2 linked regions of the Macaca mulatta genome follow. The protein of the gene in region 2 purifies or fractionates together with the protein of the main gene of each other region. This does not show direct contact. Links are inferred from orthologs where the notes say so. Each region holds a gene or a part of one and is shown on either strand. Other genes may lie near its edges. The genes, in order: OSTF1 and MYO1E.

Region 1 (3,831 bases), on a different chromosome or scaffold from region 2:
TTTGAGTCTCTTGTGTGTATTTATGTAGGAGTGGGTGGCGGGGGGATTATTTTGCTTCCTGTATTCAGAAAGAACAATCAGCATAGCTACCTGCCTCTAAAAGAAGGTGTGTTCACTGCTGTCCTAGAATCAGTAGGGAGTGTTATTAGGAAATGGAAGAAAAAGGATTAAAACTCAGGAGCCTTGTTTATCAATTCTGTGCTCTTTTGACTTTATTCTGCTGACAACTAAATAAGTGTTTTGTCCATTTGTGCCACTTGCAGCTAGAAGCAGCTTCATGGCGGGAGCCGTGTCTCTCCTCTCTCAAGGTCCCCAGACTGCCACGATAAGCATTTAATGAACGTCACTGCCCCGAACATGAATTAACAAGGTCGTGTTACTCCATCACAAAAGAAAGGGCTAGTCTAAGAAACGATCTGCAAGATTGAGTTTATCAGCATTAAAAACAATTGTTTTAGGAGCTGAAGAAAGTAAAACCATAAGCGTTCTCGGAAACCTTGGGTTAAGAATGCTATAATGCTTTCTCTTAGGCCACACAGTCAGGCTCAAGCACATCTGGTGGTCATGACCAGTTTATTAACAGGAGGCTCATGGAATGGAAAATGTCCGAGACTGACAGTGACTCCATTGCCTTCTCAGCCACAGCAGCAAGCAGAGAAGCCTCAAGAACCAAAAAAATTCCAAGTGAACGAAGAATAGCTGAATAAAACCACTCAGCAACACTTACCATAGTTGCTTGGAATTAGTCCAGTCCTGCCTTTGGAGGTGCCTTTCCACCAGTTGGTGTCACTCTGGTAAAAGAAGAGTTAAATTAAGCGGTGTGAAATCCAGACTGCATTCATTCACTTTTCAAATTATTTGGCTCCTAGGGAGTACCTGTTCTACAAAATGTCCGTCAACCCTACCCACACTGTCAAGTTTCCTCACAGCCTAGCTGTGGGTGTCTGTCTCCCTTACCACTAAGTCACAAATAAATGTGCATCTGCCTGCAACAAATGGAATACGTTTCATGACAGAGTCCCAACAAACAAACAAATCAGAGATGATACGAAACAGAAGAAAACAAATTACGCTAGTTTAGACTAGCTATATGATTTTGTGTCCACAGTTTCATTTCTCTTAGCTCCGAGATAATATTTTTTATGGGGGAGGAAGTTCTAAAGATCTCTTTATATTATCTTCATTTTGGGGGTAACTTTTTACCATAGAAAAATTTAAACTTATAAAAAAAGAGAACAATGTAACGACCTTATATATACCCATTTCCCAACTGCACAAATTATTTCTTAATGATCAATATTGTTTCATATATGCCCCCACGACCTCACTCCCCTCCTGGATTATTTCAAAATAAATTCTAGACATCATATTATTTCATTTGTAAATATTTCAGTATGTATCTCGGAAAGATACATACTTTTTGAAAGACAATTATAATGCCATTATCACAGCTTAAAAGTTTTTTCCAACAATACTCAAGGTCAATACTCAAATTTCCCAACTGCCCCATAATTTGGGATTCAAATAAGGGCTATACAATATGATTGATTTGTCTTTTAAGTATCTTTTAATCTAAAGGTTGTCTCTCCATTCTTTTTTATCTCTTAGAAATATATTTGTTGAAGAATCCAGTTGGTTTGTCCTGTAGTTTCAACCTCTATGGATTTTGCCTGTTGTATCCCTGTGTTATCATTAAACATGTTCCTCTGTTCCCTGTATTGCCTATAAATTGGTCATTCGTTCTAGAGGTTTAATTAGATTCAGCTTCAATGTTTTTTGGCAAAGCTATTTCCTAGGCAGTACTGATTTCTTCCATTGGGAAACGCGTACTATCTAGTCGGCTTCTTTTCATAATGTTGGTAGCCTTTGATGATCATTGTCTAGATCCACTATTTCCTGGGGGCTGCAAGATGGTGACATGCTAATTCTATCATTCCTTCTTCATTGAAATAACCTGAATACCTCTTCAAACAAAAACTTCCTCATCAACTCTCAGGTTGCCCAGATAAGAAATTCATAAAGAAAACACAGAATAAATGGGGATTCTTCCCCTTAACGGTTGTCAGAATAAAAACCTGGTTTCCTAGCATTCTCTCATGCTGACCAATGAGATTTGTTCAGAAGTAACATTAGGAACTCATAAATTTAAATGTATTGAATATGTTTCAATTCTTGAAAGTTGTTGCCCTAATTGATGCTCAAATTGTCCTATCTTTGGCCAGTGGGAGTCTCTTCAAGTTAGTTCCCAAGTCCTTTCATTATGACCCTACTGTCTTTGGGAGCTTCCATGGTTTCTAATAAGAGGATGTTCTGGGTTTATCTTGTACCTCTGCTGCCCCTGAGTTGGTACTAACCATTTCTCAAAGAAGCCTGTTCGTTTCAATGGAAAATAACATATTATTATTGGGTTGGTCATTTTTCCTAGGCCCTTTCAAAGAACACAGCAGGGAATATTTTCGTTTTATTTTAGATAAAATACAATGTGATCCTTCCAATTCAGATGAAGGAATACAGAGCTTTTCTTAAACTGTCATTAATCTTATATCTGTCATTAATCTTGTATCCTTTTTGCCATGCTGAAAATCCGTTAGCAACATCACCAACCTAATGACTCATTTGCTCTAAACCACAATACACCTGCAACAATCTCAGACTTAGCAATACCAACATTTCCCTAACAAGGGCATGATTTAAATCAATTTACCCTTTTTTGGCCAGTTCTTTTTGTCCTTCATATATATATTCTTCATATGTATATATATGTTCTTCATATATATATTCTTCATATATATATGTTCTTCATATATATATTCTTCGTATATATGTTCTTCATATATATATTCCTCATATATATATATATATCCATATTCTACTATGGATGTTCAGTCAAATTGCTGAGTTTTAAACTTGGAATATTTCCTCTCTGTGTGGTTATGTCAATTACCAGAGTACAATTAAGGTCATTTGATTCATTCTGCTTTTAATTTTTAGGGATTGCTTTTTACTCCAATTTTTAACTATGTCAAGGTTTACATCAGTTCAAAGTCAAATTCACAAAACAAGGTATAATTTCCCAAAAAGTCTATCTTCCATCTATGTCCATTATACCCTATTTCCCTCCCTCCACCTAGAGAAAGGATATTTACTCTTCACAGAATAAAACTAAATTTTACTTCGCAACTCATCTTTCAATTTTTTATTCGAAATTGAGAAAAACAAGGGTCTGCGTGTGTGTGTGTATACATACACTCTCACCCTTTCCTAAAAAGTGAGGATATACTATCTATATTTTCTCACTTTGCTTTTTTTTCACTTAAATCACTTCATAATAGCATATAGAGATATTCCCCATTTCTTTCTATAGCTGCATAATATTCTGTTTGTCGATAGACCAAAGCTTATTCAACTCTTTTCCTATTGATGGAGATAAGGGCTACTTTCAATCTTATGCTACTATCAATTGTGCTAAAATGAACAGACTTGTACATATGTATTTCTGTGTACATATACATTTAAATAACTTACAATGTTATAGCTACATAAAACACTCTTTATATGTGGTATTACAAGATATTATCTGGACTTACCATGTCAGTAATGTAGATAATATCACCTTCCTCAAAGTATAATTCATCTGGCTAGAAGAAAAAAAAAGTTTGACTCCATGTGATTTTTCATGAATTAGAATATAATCATTATATAGATTCAAAATTCTATCATATTCTAATAAATAATGTGGTTTTATACACTTAAATCAGCACATAAGCCATATAATAAAACACTACTGAAAAATTAATACATGAATAGATTTTTTCCCATGATGAACTTCAA
Region 2 (3,831 bases):
CTTGTTGACCAGGCTGGTCTCAAACTCCTGACCTCAGATGATCTGCCTGCCTCGGCCTCCCAAAGTGTGGTGATTAGAGGCGTGAGCCACCACGCCTGGCCAAACAAGCTTTGTTTTTACCTGTCCTTAGACTAATGGAAGTATAGCATTTCCTTGGTGAAATCTTTATGTTGCTGTGAAGCCAAACAAACCTCACCTTAGGCACACGTGTACCTGTCCAACAGCAATGCAGTGAGGTGGCAGGTATTACATACCAAATTAACCTAAGAATTTTAATGAAAGAACAAGTCACTATTTTGATAACAGTGGGGAGGAAAAGTAGAGTTGATAGCGCCCCTCCTTTACCCCATTATTATTCACGGATTACAAAGCACAGAAACTCAACACCAAGGACAGACAAACCTTTTTTTATCATGCTGAGTCTTTTAAATTTGTAAAAATTGAATTTTATTTTTGCTACATCTTTTTGGTGTTTCTCTATTCCCTATATTTCAAATTTAGGTGGAAAAATTAAACCTAACTTTGCTTTACACTTTAATGCAGTAATAGTAATCTATCTTCATTATTTAAATGTGTGGAAATACTACTTTTTAGCAGGTTCTTCTATGTTTTCCATGACTCTGATTAACTATATCAGAGTTACACACCCACATTTTAAAATTAATCATTGCTTTCTCCCTCCCTCTCCCTCTCCAGTTCTCCAAGCTTCCATACTGACACTCCTGTCCAGACACACTCACAACTGCCTCATGGAAACTCACAGCCTGAAGAAAGCCAATATTAGCAGCCCTGTAATTTCAGCATTAGGGCAGGCACTGAAGAAAATATGAGGCCATAAAAGTTTGAAAAACATGGCATGGATTCTTTTTCAAGCCAAGCGATGTATTTCCTTTCTAGTGTCCTTCGCTATTTCCCTAAGCTTGTGACTGTGATTCTTGGCCCAGTTCCATTCCTTGTGTTGTGAGTGCTTGCAGCTCTCCATGCCCTCTTCTGCAGAAAAGGACCACAAGATGGAAGTAGAGCGTGTGTCTTTGTCGTCCCTTCTCGCTCTTTTGTCTCCGGGACTCTCATCTTAGCCCTTATTGTTGTATCTCTTTAGCAAAGGTCATAAAGATAATGGCATAAACATCTTAGTCAAATATTTTAACCATGTGGGAACGTGGTTAGGGCTTAGGAGAAAGCCATATTTACAAGACAGATTGAGGCTAATTATTCATTTTATGAACCTATTCACTGTATAGTTCCTATAAACAATGAGAGGAGCTCTTGTGACTGTCCTGTAAACTGCTGAGGATGATGTCCACTGCATCAAGTGAGATATCACTCTGATAATAAAACCAACAGGATACTCTTCCCTTAGTGAAGGCTTCTTATATGTTGGATATGTTGGTAAACGTCTGTTGATTCTCACAACAACCCGACATGGGTGCAATCTGATTTATGAATGTCATCTGTCCTTACTCTGTGCACAGGAAGTTTTAGTTCACTGGAAGACACACCCAGATTCCTAGACATGTGTTTAACACTAAAACTAAGTACAATGGCCATTTTCAGATCAGTGCATTTGATTTTGTTTACATGTCTTTTCTAAAAGGAAGCCCTTCTATTGCTCAAAGCATTTTTATGAAACACTCATATAGAGGATAAATGTCTTGTTCTGGCATTATACGTTTTCAAAATGTATTCACTGACTTATTCTCATTGGAAGGTGTACACTGAGAAATGTCAGCTCGTTATATTCTAACACCATCTGTGAAATTCAAACAGATTATCTTTTATTGGGAGGCTTGTGATTTTTTAGCATTATCATAAGGCCTTTAACAAAATTCTTTTATCAGATAATTTTGGTGAAGCATTATGCAAAAAAAGAAAACTCATAGCCAAGTTCAAAATTTCCATTGCATCTATAAAAATCTTTCATTCATATTGGAAAAATCTGAGCATTCTTTCATGTCGAAGAATGGTGTCATTTATTTATATGAGAACGGTCTGCCCAGAAATCAGGAAAACCCCATTTATATCACTAGCCCTCCTTAGTTAAGTTTCATGGTCTGAAACAAGATGTTGAGCTATGGAAGTCTCTGTTTTTCTATCCAAAGACCACAAACTACCATACTATGTGACATTAGGGCAGGATATGAACATCCCCTTCATTTCACTCTATATGCTACCCTCAGAGGAATCTTCTTATAATGCCCCTCTTTATTAGCCATCAGGCCCCCTTTTGCCTCCAGCCCAAATATATCATACCATGCAAGGACCGCCAGCATTGGAATCTGTCCTAACCTTTTTAATCTGACCTGAACTTTCAGCGGCAGCCAGTGCTAGTCCACACACCGTAGCCCGCGTCTCGTCTCTATCATGTCTCCCACACTTCTGCTTCCTCCCCTTGGTACACTCCCTTCTCCTCTCTGCATCTGTACAAATCCTATTTATCCTTTACACCCAGCTCAAATCTCTTGACTACCCCAGCAAGTAGTAATATCTTCCTGTTCTAATTTCTCCACATCTTGTCTGTCTGTGTTACATATTCAGCTTTTCCAAGGGTTCTTTATTTGGCAAACTATTTTTTGCCTCGTCTAGATTGCTTTCAAGATTTCTTACATATTTTCTATTCTTTCCTCCCTCTTTAGTAACCCTACACGTGCTAAATACTCAATAAACATGGGATTAGTAAACATGGTAATTATTAGTTCAGTAATATCAGGTGCTTCAAAAATGGTGCTATGAAAACATTGTACTAAAAAGGAAGAAAACAATATTTGGAGCCAAAGAAATGTTTCTTGATTGAGTTCCTTCCGGGCTGTCTTGCTGGAAGCTTGGAGAGATGTCCATGTTAGGCATTTAACTGTGATCTCGGTAGGAGGGATAGGTTTGCCATCCTTCTTGGATCCCTGATTTGTATTATTGGAAGTCTCAGTCATCCTAGGAATTGACTCATGTAATAAAACAATTGGGAAGAACAAAGGAGATGGATGTGTGTGGGATTACTGATAAGCAGCCTTCACTAGAACATAAGCTCTTGGGGCCTGTGACTGTGCCTTCTATGTATACACATGTGCATGTGCACATAAGTGCCTCCATATGTTTGTGAGATGAATTGGAAGTGTCCCAATTCTGAAAGATTGTCATGTTTTGTTTTATGTTCTACAGTTTTAGCTTTTCCTGCATATCTGCTAGGGATAAACCAGGACCGGTTGAAAGAAAAGCTAACAAGCCGGCAGATGGATAGCAAGTGGGGAGGCAAATCCGAATCCATCCACGTGACCCTCAATGTGGAGCAGGCCTGTTACACCCGGGATGCGCTCGCCAAGGCCCTGCACTCCCGGGTTTTTGATTTCTTGGTAGATGTAAGTAACACAAGTTGATGTTGGTGATGCTTCATATCTTAGCTATAAAGAGTCAAACTAGTAGGCTGGGCGCGGTGGCTCACACCTGTAATCCCAGTACTCTGAGAGGCCAAGCTGGGAGGATCGCTGCAGCCCAGGAGTTTGAGACCAGCCTCTGCAACGTGGTGAGACCCCGTCTCTACAAAAAACACAAAAATTAACCAGGTGTGGTGGCAGGTGCCTGTGGTCCCAGCTACTCAGGAGGCGGAGGTGGGAAGATCACTTAAGCCTGGGAGGTCAAGGCTGCAGTGAGCCGAAATTGTGCCACTGTACTGCAGCCTGGGGGGCAGAGTGAGATCCTATCTCCAAAAAAAAAAAAAAAAAGTAAAATGACTAATGGTTTTGTGTTCCTGTTCTGGCTCCTTCCTTTCACCCATTACTTTACTTCGCTTTCTGTCCTCTCACTCTGCAATCACTGAATCCTGCATTTCCTTCTAGAACT

What was found.
Region 1: the proteins of MYO1E (region 2) and OSTF1 purify together in Homo sapiens (co-immunoprecipitation; 3 studies listed by BioGRID and IntAct, counting the BioPlex papers as one, with this or other methods). This does not show direct contact. The link is inferred for Macaca mulatta from reciprocal best matches to the Homo sapiens genes MYO1E and OSTF1.

What each region holds. Positions count from the first base shown.
Region 1 is NC_133420.1:106,157,361-106,161,191, reverse strand, and holds part of OSTF1 (osteoclast-stimulating factor 1), read right to left. Parts: intron 3,639-3,831; coding exon 3,588-3,638; intron 792-3,587; coding exon 728-791; intron 1-727.
Region 2 is NC_133412.1:36,535,655-36,539,485, reverse strand, and holds part of MYO1E (unconventional myosin-Ie), read left to right. Parts: intron 1-3,153; coding exon 3,154-3,350; intron 3,351-3,831. UniProt on the Homo sapiens protein: Actin-based motor molecule with ATPase activity. Unconventional myosins serve in intracellular movements. Their highly divergent tails bind to membranous compartments, which are then moved relative to actin filaments.